Linked DNA regions of Caenorhabditis elegans. The protein of the gene in region 2 interacts with the protein of the main gene of each other region in a pairwise test. Each region holds a gene or a part of one and is shown on either strand. Other genes may lie near its edges.

Region 1 (6,586 bases), on a different chromosome or scaffold from region 2:
GAGCATTGGACTTTATAACGAGGATTCCAGCTAACGCATTTACATTTCAAACTCAAAAAGAAACCTATACGACAATTGTCTACTTTCATTGTAGACTGCAGAATACATACGTGACACATTGAACTAGTGATCGAAATGTCGACTGAGATCGTAAATCGACTAGAATTACATTTCCATTCATGCGGATTTGTTGGTTGAACACGCCGACCTATGGTTTAAATTTTGATTCCATTTGCACTGAAAATTTTCTGAACTTTTCTCAAATAGGTTGAAAAATCATTTTTTCTTTGTTTAAGCCATATCCAAATTTTAATTTATATTTTTGGCCCTGCTTTTGCTTTGAAGGCAGTCGAGATTTACTACGTTCCAGTGGGTCAATGATTAAATTACCATGGACTCTCTTCTTCATTATTGGGACCGCAACATGCTCGTTTAACCAAGTTGATGAATCCTATGCGTGTATAAGAGAGTTTTGTTTTCTTACACAAATGAATGTTGATAACTGCACTAAAAACCATGACTTTATGTCGGTTAGTTTCAAATTAAGCTTAAAAGAGTTACATAAAGAACTAAGTTTCAGAGCGATCCGGCTTTACAGCAAATTGCATTTAAAGAAGGAAAACAATGTTTTATTTATGGAATTAGTTCAGACTATACAAAATATACATGCACAAGAACGATAATTGATCATATCACACTCAATTATGACATCTATATGGAGAGCATAGTAGCAACACCAACAAGTGAAACAAGTTGCAAGGATCCATATTACGCATTTGAATCTTGCCGATGTAGGCAAAGCTATGACATAACTGAAAATTTGGTTAACAAATATAAATGGGCAGACAAGAAAATGTCAATTTATAAGCAGGAGGAGGTGATGAATCAATGCAAAGATTTCAAGGTAAAAGTCGCTTCAAAATTTTAATTAAATATAGGTTTAGTTTTTCGCTGCTTGCGATATTTAAATTTTCTGCAAATAACCGCCCAACTTCCCAAATTTCCAGAAGTGTGCTAACGAATGCTTCTCACAGTATCCAGATATAGCAAGGATTTCTGCCGGATGTGACATTGTGGAATTAAAGTACTCGCCATTCATGAGTTGCCTGACAAAGTTACGCAATCGCGAGTTCAAGCTGCCGCACTACAATTGCACGGATTCCAATTTTCGAAGCAGAGATATAGAAGTACTTATCAATATGTTCACAGAGGATATGTACTGTACCAAGTGGATTATGAGGAAACATTGTGATGAAAGTGCGGTAATAGATTTCCGAAAATATGCATCATTTCTTGCAAGCAATCTTAAAGGAACTCTTGTACTCTTCTCCGGCTATAATGCACTATGATTCGGAAATCTGTTCTTTGCCAATGAATTGTATCAAATAAAGTGAAGTAAACTTCGTCATGTTCAAAAACTTTTAAAGCTGAATTTGTGAATGTTGTGAAACATAATTTTAAGTTTTGTATTCAAACATCCAATGGAAGCATAAAATGCAAAAAGTTTTATAGGTCCAATTAGAATTCATAGGCATTTCTTAAATTTTTGCAATATTAGTCAAGTTTTTTGTGAAAAATCTTGCGCATTATCGGTATCGGAAAATTGGGAATCGGGAAAAATTAAAATCAAAAAGTTTATTTTATTCAACTCGCAAGATTATTAATATCTTCTGAAATCACATTTCTTGGCGAATGGATTGATGACTTTCTGAAAATAAACGTTTTTTTTTTCGTTTTTTTTTGATAAAGCAGTTTATATTCAATCACCTCGCGGAACGATCTCCATTCTTTTTTCCCGCATGTTTTCACAATGTCCTTCTTCATACAATCTTTCCGTTTGAAAATTTTCTCACAAATTTCGTCGTTCATGTCAGGAATTCCAATCGACATCGGTTCCCAGTTTTTGAAACACTTTGAACCGTTGTCATTTAATTTTTCGTTGCACTCAGCAAAATCAACGTGGACGTACGCAACGAATTCACAATAGTTTTCAACTGATTTGAGCATATATTCCTTATTTTTGTCGCATCGGATATTGGAGAAACACGTGTGAAGAGAATTACAAGCACTCACAAAATTCTTCATATTACTTTGGTTAGCCATATCGTGCTCTTGAACTTTTTCTTGAATGTTGATGAGACGCTAAACGTGAAATTCGTGAAGAGTTTTAGAAAAAATCTCACCGAAAGACATTTAGCTGCTTGAAATCCATCTTCAACAGTACATCGGAAGTATCTTGATCCAGCAGTTGCTACGCTTGCACCATGAGCTACCCCTAAAAGCACAGACCCAATGAGGGCAACATTGAAAAGATTTATCATTTTCTGAAACACAAATCTTATTAATAAATGAAAACGAGAAAAACCTAAGACTGAAAAGTCCCAATGTGATGTCTTATTTATAAGCGTCGCAAAAGATGCAATTGAATCTGGCGGCAACTGTTGCAGTTTCTCGAGAAACTAAAAAAAATGTACGTGAATGTTATTCGGGAATTTTTTTTTTGGATATTTAATGAGATCTGATCTTTGCAACATTCCTCTGCATGACTCATTCTGTTAATATGTTGTGTTGTAACTTTCGACCCCGATAAATCTCGAGATTGCGGAAAAACGAAAGAAACAGAACCTGTGAGATATCTTTTAAGAAAAGAGTCAAATAAGTTTTTTTAAATTTAATGTTTCATAACGTTTTGAACAAGTTTCCAATATATGCTGAAATTGTAAAAAAATCCAATTGATTTGTAGTTAGAAATTCTCAAAAAATTAAACATTTCTTCGGAATTTTCTCACACATTTTTCTGGCAGTTCAAAATATTCAAATGTAATATTTTCAGTCAATGGATGAACAAATTTGGTTACATTTTATCCATCCATTGTCCAAGGAACACTTTCGATTCAAGTGGATTTTGTTACGCACAGCGAGAAGTTTATTTGATTCTTTGATATTTAGAGTGACTCACTGGGTATTGTAGTAAATAATAGAAATAGTGGGATTAACTGTGTGTTGGTTTGATTCTTTGATGTACTATATAAGCATGGTAATGTCTAATGGGGAAACATGTTTAATAATTTTTACATGTTTAATAATCGGTTTGATAATTTTTCACATTAATTTTTTCTTTTTGCAGTCTAAAAAATAACTATATCCTTTTCAGAGTTTCCAGTACTCTAATTTTCACAATGAATTTGTTTCGTGAGTTTTTGATTGTTCTCCTCTTCAATATGGCAACACCTTATTCCTGGCATAACCAAGACTCGTATTACTGTATCCGATCATTTTGCACTGTTGCACTGGGAGATACACGTGACTGTCAGAAGAACATTTCATTTCTTTCGGTTTGATTGCAAACTTCATTTTTGCTAAATCTCTGTGGTTTTAGAGCGATCCGAAAACCCAACAAAAAGCATTTACAACCGGGAAGACATGTTTTTTCGACACAATAAAGTCGATTTGTGACAAACCGATTATTGAAAACATTTCGAAAAATTATGACAAGTATCTTGAAACTATCACTAAAAAACCAGAAAATGTCTCCGATTGTTTTGATCCTCATTATCTTTTCGCACAGTGTAGATGGAGACAATCTGGAAGAGATGCTTATCTTCTGCTTAAGAATTATAAAAACTCTACCAAGAAGTTCGAAGCAAAAGATGTGGCAAACATAAGCAAAGTGTGCCAAGGTTTTAAGGTGAGATAAATTTGAGACCAAACATTAAACCCTTAACCAGTACCTGTTCCAGAATTCTACTTACAGTTGTTCACCTCACGATTCGAGCACGCGGATGGTAGAAGATGAGTGTGATGTCATCGACTTAAAACAGACACCGTTTATTGCTTGCTTGTCAAAGATACGTGCAAACAAAGAAGCTCTGCCAAAATACAAATGTGTGAATTTTGATTTTCAAACCAAAAAAGTGTCTACATTAATGCAAATGTTTACAACCAAAAAATGGTGTAACAAATGGATTATGAAGAAGCATTGTGGTAAATCTTCTGTAGCCGATTTTAAGAAGCATGCAGCATTGTTTGTGAAAACTCTTAATAGCACATTGAGTTATTTTACTGGTTATAACCCTATTTAATCATAAAATAAAGTTGTGCATTGTTTGCTAATTTGAAAATCACCTGAAACTCTGTCCCAACTTTTTCTTATTTTCAATGTTTGAAAACTTTCAAACTCGATATATTTGTAAAAAATTCAAATCAGATTAGAATTTTTTCAAGGGAATACTAATTCATGAGTGTGATATTTTATATTTTTTGAATAATATTGAACTTAAGTTTGAACAAACTTTTGTATTGAAATTTTAAGGCTTGCAAAACTTTTTTGAGGTATTGAAACAAACTGCAGAGAATCATTCGTTATTTGATCATAGTTGTAGTTGAAAACGTAAACAACTGGATTAAAGATTTTTGTGTCAAATAGATTTTTCCTCAATCACGTACACACAACAAAATACTATTCCATCTCGTAAATAAAACACAGTACCCGTAAAGTTCAGTTCTAGTTTAAGATATTTATTACCAGCTTCCCGTGTTTAAAGCTTTAAAGTATCTTATGCATTTTCCAATACTTATTCCGATTATAATTTCCGAGAAATAATTTTAACTATAGCTAAAACCGCAAGAAAGAATGTATGCGGCCCGCAGAATTACTAATGATTCCTCATTGTGGTCACCACTTACTTGTTACAAAAAATTCAATTCAACCCACAAGATTCTGTATCCTGTTATTATATCAAGCTGGCTAGAATAAGTGATGCGCGGTAATCGAAAATATTCAGCAATACAATTTAAGAAACAATCCTACATTTTTAGATTGCTGAAATTTTTTAAAGGGGGAGTAGAGTTTGTGGGGAAATATATGTTTCTGACTCTAATTTTGCCCCTGATGCCGAATATCGATGTGAAAAAATTCAAAAAAATTTCCCTGATTTTATATTAATTTTTAAAATCCGAAAATTCATTGGATGCCACTATGTGAGTTTTCAAACGCTGAATTTTCCCGCCAGAGACGCCCCGCCTACGAAACCGTGCCGCAAGTGTGGGTTTACGAGGTGAATATTTTCCTTCTATTTTTATTTGATTTTATACCGATTTTCGTCGATTTTTCTCATTTTTTCGCCGTTTTATATTGAAATTTTTGTTATTTCTCTTAAATTATGCCTTTCTATTGATGAAATACACAAAATTTCATGAAAAATTCCATTTTCAGCACAAATTCGACGGGAAACGAGGAAAATCGCGGAGACACGACGATTTTTTGGAAAGTGAGTACTTCTTATAGAAAATATTATTTAAAAAACAATTGAAAAGTAAGAATCGCTAAATAATTAAGCCTAAAACATCCTAAAAATCATCAGTATGTCGATTTATTCGGCAAATATCTTACTATCGTAATAAATTTAATTAAACTTCCTATTTTAATCCTAGTGCTTATCAATAGTCTATTTACAAATCTCAATAACGAAAGTTCTCCACATTAATACAAACATTTAACATTTCAGTTATCCGGAACACGTTGATTCGTCACGCTCCCGAGGACAATCTTCGATTTTTGTAGTTTTTTTTCCCAAAAATGTTTTTTTTGTAAAGTTTATTGAATATAAACAGTCTTATAATAAATTTACTTGTTTTGTCTAAAAAAACAAAAGCATTACACACGAATAAGTAATAGATTTATTGTCCACGGTTGCCTCCACCTTGTTTCCCGTCGAATTTGTGCTGAAAATGGAGTTTTCATGAAATTTTGTGTATTTCATCAATAGAAAGGCATAATTTAAGAGAAATAACAAACATTTCAATATAAAACAGCGAAAAAATGAGAAAAATCGACGAAAATCGGTATAAAATCAAATAAAAATAGAAGGAAAATATTCACCTCGTAAACCCACACTTGCGGCACGGTTTCGTAGGCGGGGCGTCTCTGGCGGGAAAATTCGGCGTTTGAAAACTCACATAGTGGCATCCAATGAATTTTCGGATTTTAAAAATTAATATAAAATCAGGGAAATTTTTTTGAATTTTTTCACATCGATATTCGGCATCAGGGGCAAAATTAGAGTCAGAAACATATATTTCCCCACAAACTCTACTCCCCCTTTAACTTCAAGAAATACTGAGTTTTCAAAAACGGAATCTAACACATTATTTCTTTCTTTCATTGCCAGCACTAATTAAAAAAAACGTGTTTTCACCTGTCTTATACTGGCTTCTCAGAATTTGAATGTTATTGTTATTTAACCAATCAAAAATTTTATTACAAATTTAGCGGTAAATTTTGTCATAGATCAAGATAACATACTTTTTGAGTAGTAACTTTGAATCCACGTGTTCTCTGCTGGCTACGTGGCTGTTGTTTTGAAACGAATCCTTTCAAAGCGTCACGATAAGGCTTATGAACAAAAAGCATCATCAATGTTGAAACAACTCCATGCAACGAACCGATTATCACAAAGAAATTTGTGACTTTTTGATTGTAATATAGAGATAAAACTGATATAAATGCACATGTCAGTGAAATGATTAGCATGACTAATGGAACACCCATTTGGATAATTAGTGCGAAGAAAAGCATTTTCTGAAC
Region 2 (8,800 bases):
ATTCAGGTGCATAGAAGCCCATTAGATTTCTTATCCAGAACACAACTCGGGCTTCAGGGGGTACCTTTTTCACGTTCTTCGGTCGTCTCAACTGAGCTCCAGTCAGGCTCCTATAACATTCCTGAAAGTGTTATGTGAGACCATCAATAAGTGAAGTTTGAGTTTTCAGGTGTTCATAACACACGACTATCTCTCATTCATTTTAAAGCTTACTTGTATTTAAAAATAGAATTACTTCTCAGTCAAGAGCGAGTCACGGCAACTCGGTCCAAAACCATTTCTAATTAGTAAACTCTCAAAAACCACAACTAATTAGCTTAAAATCATTGCTAATTAGCAAAAATAAGCTAATTTACAATGGTTTTAAGCTATTTAGTTGTGGTTTTTGAGAGTTTACTAATTAGAAATGGTTTTGGACCGAGTTGCCGTGACTCGCTCTTGACTGAGTTTACTGCTCTAATATTCTTTGACCTTGATCTTAGAGATCGAAAACACGAGAAAGGTGTACGTCCTGAAGACAAAGATTGCACCTCCCGATGATTGACAACTCTATTTGTGATTTGGAGAAACTGACTGGAAAATGGGTTAGTTGTTTGTGGGAAAGTCGATGGTAAATAAAATAGTTAGATGCTTCGGCACTATAATTTTCAAGGTATTCCAAAAAAAACTTTTCCGTACCAATTTTATAAAATACAATAGTTAATTTTTCAGACGTGTTGTCTAGAATTATAATCACACTACGTTGCTAATTTATTAAAACTGCTGCAAATACTTTAAATCCGGAATTTTTTTGAAATTATATCTTTGGAAGTTTGAATTAATAGAACAGTAAAGAGCAATTTTTCTACAGTGATATTTTGATGATATGAGGAAACTTTTAAGGTGTCTTGTTTTTTTTCGGGAATTCGGGAATTTATCCATTTGTAGGCATTCAAAGTAGATATCCAGCAGAGAATGACCAGTCTGCGTATCCATGACAACTGAACCAGAAACATGTTCCATGTGTGAAAGGACGTCGTCTTCGAAGCGGAAGGGTCACTTCTAAATTCATTTTGCAAAGTGGATGAATGTGGATAAGTGCTTCCATTTTATTCCACTTAAAATGATTTAGTTTTCAAAAAATGAAATTCATCTACATATTAAGTCATTAACCGAATTGAATAAATGTAATCAGTACGTACTTATTCATCTCTCATATGCACTTTATTTTTTCCAAATAAATATTTTTAAAGAAATTGAGCATTGGTCACCCATCGCAATGATTCTGGCAAATATTTCAATAAAAAACTCAAATTTCTCGCCTTCTCTCTCATTATTCGTTTTCGTACCCGTAGTATCTCATTCAAAATTCATCGTTTTTCGTTTTCAAAACGTAAAACCGCTACCCTAGCTAATTCATCTCATTTTACTCCTCCCTATCGGCTGGCTCCTTCTGCTTTGTTGTTGTTTACTGCATCTCTTACTCTCTATGTTTCTCTCTTTCTCTAAATCTCTTCAAAGTCCTGTACTCTCTAATGGGCTCGCGGAAGAGCCCCCGCAAGCCAAATATGGAACAGAAAGTGAGAAATGGAAGAAATTCAGAAAGAGACAGCAAGAAGAAGTGAGTCAATTTGAAACACACCCACATCCTTTCTTTTTGCATTTTTTTTCTTTTGCGAAAATTTGCTTTTTAGTAGGGCAATGTGTGTCACTTTTCATTAAAATATCCATCTGTCATTTTCTCTCCTATTTTGTCATTTTTAAGATATTGATATGCCATCGTACATCATTGAAGCTTTGATATTTCTGTGATTTTTCAATGCAATTTTATTTGATCGATTATCAATAAATTGAAGCATATTATTTATTTGCAAATGATACTCAAAAAGATAACTTCATGCATGAGATAAACCACACCTAACTTTTTATCACTTGAACTAGTTATCCGATCGGATAAACTTATCATATCGTGAGTATATAAAGCATTCTATTATAAACACATTTTACACATTTTATTTGTTTTAGATATTTTGTATGTTTTCTTATCAAGCTATAATTTTGCTTTCACTTTTAAAAATGAAATGTACATTTTTAAAAAGTATCTCTCTTTTAAATTACTGCCAAAATGGAAGCTCTGTTTTTTTTTACATTTTAAACATAAATATTGTTGGACTTACTAAATCTTATGACGGCATTTTCAGCCATGTAATGAGTTTCCAAAAACTGATTGAAGTAGCTAATGTTCTCAGTTTCCAGGAAATTACAATATTCAGTAACTTAGTTCAGTAACTTAGTTTTTTTTCTAAAAAATCTATATTTTTAGTTTGAAAAAATCTACACAGAAGACCTGACCAATAATTTGCCGGCCACCAACTAGTAGGAAAGGTTCTTCGCAACGCCTGTTTATTTATATTATGCGTGTGCCCCTCTCCCTCTCCCTCAACCTCATACTTCACTTCTCTAATCCTCTATGAATTTATTTCTCCAGGCGGTACATATACTCATATCCTTTCTCCTTTCTGTTCATCCTTTCTGTTCATCCGATGCCTCTCTCCTTTTTTCCGATTCTCCCTGATCATCGTTTGGTGAGGTCGCCACCCTCACCGTTATTATGTACAAGTTGTATGAACATGCCCGGTTTGGGAGGTGATGGTAATCCATCCGTTTCACGGAAACTCACTTTCATTTTGTACTTTCTGTAGTTTTTCGTTGTTGTCTCTGTATTAAGCTGATGACTTTGGAAATTCAAAAAAAACTAGGGACTCAGTTTGGAGTGCATTTCAATTTGAAAAACGTCGATTTTAAGTTCTTTCATCGTTTTTCCCTATATTAGCTTTGCATCCCATTACCAAATTTTAACAAGTCATATTTTTGTTACCATTTGTTTTTTTAAGTGTCAACTAATAAAGTATGTATAATTTCTTTCTTTATAGTTTTGTTTTTAATTATTTATTGATATATCTTCGAAATAAAAATAACCTTTTAAAATGAAGTGAAAGTGTGAACTACTAATCAAAAATGAGGTATGTGTCTAGATTTCAAGAGCACGAAAGATATTGGTGAAGCAATTTTTAAAAATTATTCTAGTTCAATACCAACATTTTTCTTGATGTTCCACATTTCGAACTCTTTCCCTATCTCTCTCTCTCTCCTTCTGCGCTTAAATTCTCCAAATTCTCATGTTCTGTAATTAGCGGTCTTGTCGTGGTCATCACAATTACACGGAAAACTATTTGTTTGTGTTATGTAATGTGTATGTTCTCGCCATAAAACAAGAAATGAAACCTGAAAAACGAGCAGAAACAATTGGCTTACTGCCTATTACGTGTGTGTGTGCCCGTTCCGCGTCCCTCTCATTTCCGCCCAACTCCGCCTACTTTCGTCTCTTTTCGATCACTTTTCCGCATCATTTTGATCACTTTTACAAACACATTCATGCCCGTAGTCCACCACCATCATCGCTTAACTCTTGAAATTTCTGATTGGTCATTGAATTTTGTCTTGGAACTTCCATCATTGAACACCAATCCAATTTAGACTTTTCCTTGTATTTATATGCCTATCGCCTGAATTTCTCTGATCTAGATGCTACCCAAAACAGACTTTTTCCCATTTCGTGTCACTCCTTTTTTGTGGGTCACAACTAATAAATCATGTTGCTCGTCGGTTTCTCGGAGCACACTCCATCCTTTTCCTTCTCATCAATTCAATGTGAATCGACATGCTTCTTCTTTTTTCTTCAGATTTCTTCACTACCGTCGTCACTTTTCGTTTTTTTTTCTTTTTCAACCACTTGAAAATGTGAAAATGTGCACTAGAAGTTTATGAGCTCTTGTAACCGAACACAGGCTCGTTTGTGAAAATGTGAAATGGAATGATGTTGGAAGAAAGAAAAGAACAAATCATGAGCTCCGGGTGATGGAATTCAAACATTTTTCCACAAATCTTATTGGCTTTAGTCAGAATTCTTCGTTCGTTATTCTGTAGAGTGACCCGAGTCAGACAAGCTTAATGAAATCATCAATATTCATTATAAACAAATTGTTTTAATTTATTTAAAGATCATTCTTTATATTATCAGAAAACAAGCTCTGAGTTTTTAATAACCATTTATTCAAACCTCCAAATATTCAATAAATTGGGCTTAATTTCTGTTTCAAAATGTTTTTTAATCAACCAATATATTCTCATCAGTTGTTCTATGAAAATTCTATACATTTACAAGAATTTTGGAGCGATGGAATAAACTAGGTTATAGCAAGTTGATGATACCTTTTCCACTATTTGAAACTCGACCGTTCTGTGAATTTTCTATAAATACAAAATTAACCTCATTCATGAAAGTGCTTGACGGCAAACAAAACAGTACCGAGATCAGATCACAAATAATTTTCTCTTCCTTTTTGTTCAATGTTCTGCCATCAGTCTACATTGTATTCAATTTCATGTTTGATTTGTGCGCCTGTTTCGCTACAAGCTCTTTCTCTGTGCCCTTTCAACTTTTCATCCTCCTCATTCCTTCTTCAATTTTTATTAGTTTACCTTCTCTCACTTTTTTATGACGTGGAATCACTGTATTTGCAGAGATACTTCTTCACCTTTTTCTCCATATTCGACCAGTTCTTTCACTTCTTCTCGGTTTTTTCTTTTCTTCCCTTTTTCCGCTAATAATACCTGACCAACAATTCATTTTCGGCTTGGTCTTGTATAGAAGACCACTTGAGATACTTTTGAATGCCATTCAGTTGCTATATTTTACTTTTTTTTGTTTTTTTCCTGTTGTTTTAGTTGCTAACTAAAAGATTATCCTTTTTGATCTGGCTACGATATAGTAGACAGAAAGAGAAAGTAAAAAATCGAACGTTGTTGACATTTTGTTCACTTTTTATTTCCTTTTTCAATTTTACATACTCTTAAATATGTTGACTATCCTCTATGTTTCTAAATGAACACAAAAATTTTTGTCTCCGTTTTTTGCGTTGTTTTCCTCAACCGCTGCACCCTAGAATTACTGTTTTCCAGAAAAAATAAACGATCGACACACATAAACACAGGAGTCTCTCACTCCATTTTTGACTTTAAAAATGGATTCGCATGTCGGCGAAGTCGATATTTTCCAACAATGCAAGTATATTCATGAGGTTTGTTCTAATTTCAGTTTGTTTTTGGTTTAACTAGTGTCACTAGTTGCACAAAGTTTGAGAGAATATTTTAAGATTTTTTTTTTCTGAAATTGATTGAACCATTTTTCACTGAGTTTATTAAAAAATTGTGTACCAGAATTCTAATTCACATTCCAATTATTGTTCAATTTCAGGTGGAACTCGTAAATATGAAGTTGCAAATGCGAATTCTGGAGACACACATTGAGACAAAAGACCGACTTCTGAGAAATTTAGAAGATATTATAGACGAACAAGAGTCACGAATTGCAAATATGGAAGATTTTATTCAAGGTACGCACTGTCGTGTGTAGTGAATTTTTGTGAAGTTTTGCATGATTAAAACCCCGTATTACTTATCCGTAATCTTAGACACTTACTTGATATATTGTCATGAGTACCGTGTTTTTTAATCCCAATTTTTTGATCGTCGTGTGATTTGGCTATCTTTAGCTCAAAAGTGTTATCTTTTAATACGCATTTTTGTTTTTTCTTAAAGTAATTGTGTTGTGGTGGTCGGATTGGCATGATTTTATAGTGTTTAATCTTTATTATTTTCTACTTGGTTTTTTGGTTGACAGTGCCTTTTTTCAATTTCACATATTCTACCAAAATCATTTCAATCCGGCCGATACTGATAATATTTTTCTAACATCATTACATGTTCACTTTAATTTCGCAAGTCCAAACAAAACTTACAACAGCTTATTTCTAAACAATAATCTAGCAAACGGCTAATTGGAATGATCAGGTTATTAAATGTTGAAATTGAATTGCAGGCCGTGCCACGTCATACACAAATCGGTCAAATATGCTGAAAGGAATTTCAGTTCTTTCACTGGATTTCGGAAATCTTTCGGAAGAAAATCTACGATTGAAAAATGCGCTGAGCCAAATGCAAAAAGTGGCAAGAGTGAATGAGTTATTGGAAACTGATGAAGATTATGAAAGTGATATGACAAGCAATGAGGATCGATTTGCTTTGAGGTAACCATTTTATTGTAATGTGATTGTCTTGTGAAAATAGTTTGAACACTTGAATTTTTTGAAAAGTAGGTCAAAAATGTAGTGTAATTTATTTTCCGTTTGCAAGCCTTTGCATGTTTTCCTGTGTATTCCAGCCGTGATTCTTCATGTTCGGTTCCCAGATCAGTGAGCCCCCAACCAACGGGTGACGTCATAAAGCCATATCCTCAAATGGTTCAATCAATGAGAGAAGAAGGGCATTGGAAGAAACTTCAGAGATGTGCAGAAGAGCTGAAAACTGAAAAAGATGAATTGAAGAGACTAGCATTGGATACAAAAGATGCATTCAATGTATGTATGGCTGAAATGAGAATGATGCTCACTTCAAAGACAACTGATTTCTTCCGAGTTCTCATTGAAAGATACAAAGCAGAAATGGAAAAACGAAAGCAATTACACAATCAATTGGTTGAGTTGAATGGTAAGTTCTAAATTGATTGAAATATTCCAAGAAATCGGAATGATTGATCTTTATAACTACTTTCCAAAAAACTAAAATTTTCAATTTTTAAGGTAACATTCGTGTATTCTACCGTATCCGTCCACAACTTGCATCAGAAACTGACAATCAAAAACCAGTTGTCGTGATAGATGAAATGGATAACGGAGTTGTCCACGTGTCAAACACAACGGGAACTCGGAAAACTAGTGCTGGAGCTGACAAGGTTATTCCAACTGATTTCTCGCAAGATCAGATATTTAATGAAGTTTCTCCGATTATTACATCTTGCATTGATGGTTATAATGTATGCATATTTGCGTATGGACACACCGGAAGTGGAAAAACATACACTATGGATGTAAGTTTAATTAAATTTTCAATAGAACTTTAAATTTCCAATTTTCAGGGTCCCGTCACAATGCCTGGAATCAATCAAAGAGCTATTATGCAATTGTTCGAAACTGCGAAGGAGAGAACGGGCGATATAAAATATGATATTAAAGTTGCCATGATGGAGATATACAATGAAAAAATACGGTAAATTGACTTTTTTTTTAACCTAAAATTGCAAATTCATTTTTCAGTGATCTCTTGAACACTTCCAACACAAATTTGGCAATTCGTCAAACTGAAGAAGGGAGAAGCTCAATTCCAGGACTTGAGGAAGTTTCAGTGAACTCTGCAGAAGAAGTCACGGAAACGCTTGCTAGAGGAAGAAAGAATAAGGTGAATTTGAAACAACTTCATATTCTAAATTTTCAATTTTCAGGCTGTAGCTGCTACTGAAGCCAATATTGAATCCAGTCGTTCTCATGTTATTGTTAGAGTTTTAGTATCGGCCACAAATCTTATAACAAAAGCAACTACAGTTGGTATGTCATTTTTCAAGTGAAAAAATATTTTGAATATATGATTTATTCAGGTCGTCTGAATTTGGTAGATCTTGCTGGATCAGAGAGAGTTTCTCAAACGAATGCAACCGGTCAACTGCTAAAAGAAGCTCAAGCTATCAATAAATCTCTATCTGAACTTGGAAATGTTGTACTTGCTCTTCGCCAGAATCAAAAACATATTCCATTCAGAAATTGTCAATTGACAAGAATTCTTGAAGATAGCTTGAGTGAGTTTCATAATATATTGGGATTTCCCTTTTAAATATTATTTTCAGATGGAGACAGTAAAACTCTGGTCATTGTGCATTTATCACCAGATGCAAAGAGTTTGAATGAATCTATTAGCAGTGTTAATTTTGCTGAAAAAATCGGACAGGTATGCATTTATGCCTTATCACATTTTACAAAAATTAAATGTTTCAGGTATTCACAAAAAGTGGAACGATGAAAAGAGAACCAACACGTAGAAGTATGACTGGAATAAGCAGTGGTCAACGAAGAGAAATCCCAGCATCTCCAAGAAAATGAACCTCATAAAATATCAAATATTTCATCTCTACTTCTCCAATAATCATCTTGTCAAATCCCTGAAATACCCGCTTACTCTTTCCATTCTAGTCCATGAAAAATTTCAAAAATTCAAAATGGGTTCCAACAATTTTTTTTTTCTAAAACTGCTGACTGACCAAAAAACTTGAAATACGGTTTACTTTTTCAAATCTAAATATATCCCCCATTTTTATTATTTGCAAATTTGTTTATGTGTGAGCTTTGAAACAATAAAAATATTCATTTAATATTTTTTAGTTCAATCCAATATTTTGATAGGTGGAATTGCAACAAAAATGAAGCAACAAATTATAAAAACAATTGTGAAGATTATAAGGCAGAATCGGTCAACTGCTTGAGCTGCAAACTTCCATTCGTCCTAAAATTTGAAATAAACATTGTTTTTTTATTAGGCCTGCATGTAGGACTATTTTTTATTTGCTGGTAAGTGTGACTATAAGAGACTGGAATGGTAATAGAGGAAATAAAGTATTGAACTATAAGGTTGATCTAACTCTAAAAAGAAATGTTAATAATGTTGTCAATTGTATAAAATAACTTAAACCCTATTTTGGGGCATATATGACAATATAATACATGCATTACATTTGACCGAGTACGGTTGGCTCTCTCTATCTATCTCGTTGTCCAGACCAGACTCATTTTTTCCGCGAAGTACTCTATGCCTCTTCCCTCTCTAAAAGAGACTCAGACAGTCCAAACAGAAGGACATTCTCTTCCACGGCCAC

Evidence for each region. Proteins that work in one complex are often made in the same cells at the same time.
Region 1: the proteins of klp-3 (region 2) and ZK105.1 interact in a two-hybrid assay, tested with the Caenorhabditis elegans proteins (one large-scale study listed by BioGRID).

The regions. Positions count from the first base shown.
Region 1 is NC_003283.11:7,709,735-7,716,320, reverse strand, and holds ZK105.1 (T20D4.11-like domain-containing protein), read right to left. Parts: upstream 2,331-6,586; 5' UTR 2,322-2,330; coding exon 2,184-2,321; intron 2,143-2,183; coding exon 1,768-2,142; intron 1,709-1,767; coding exon 1,661-1,708; 3' UTR 1,623-1,660; downstream 1-1,622. Other genes in the region: ZK105.12 (T20D4.11-like domain-containing protein), read left to right, coding at 378-530, 581-904, 1,008-1,349; ZK105.13 (T20D4.11-like domain-containing protein), read left to right, coding at 3,180-3,335, 3,380-3,688, 3,741-4,082.
Region 2 is NC_003280.10:7,837,354-7,846,153, forward strand, and holds klp-3 (Kinesin-like protein klp-3), read left to right. Parts: upstream 1-4,999; 5' UTR 5,000-5,063; coding exon 5,064-5,120; intron 5,121-5,296; coding exon 5,297-5,435; intron 5,436-5,920; coding exon 5,921-6,128; intron 6,129-6,262; coding exon 6,263-6,588; intron 6,589-6,680; coding exon 6,681-6,967; intron 6,968-7,015; coding exon 7,016-7,146; intron 7,147-7,193; coding exon 7,194-7,335; intron 7,336-7,378; coding exon 7,379-7,481; intron 7,482-7,531; coding exon 7,532-7,729; intron 7,730-7,777; coding exon 7,778-7,878; intron 7,879-7,925; coding exon 7,926-8,030; 3' UTR 8,031-8,300; downstream 8,301-8,800. Other genes in the region: Acetylcholine receptor subunit alpha-type acr-7, read right to left, coding at 8,311-8,430.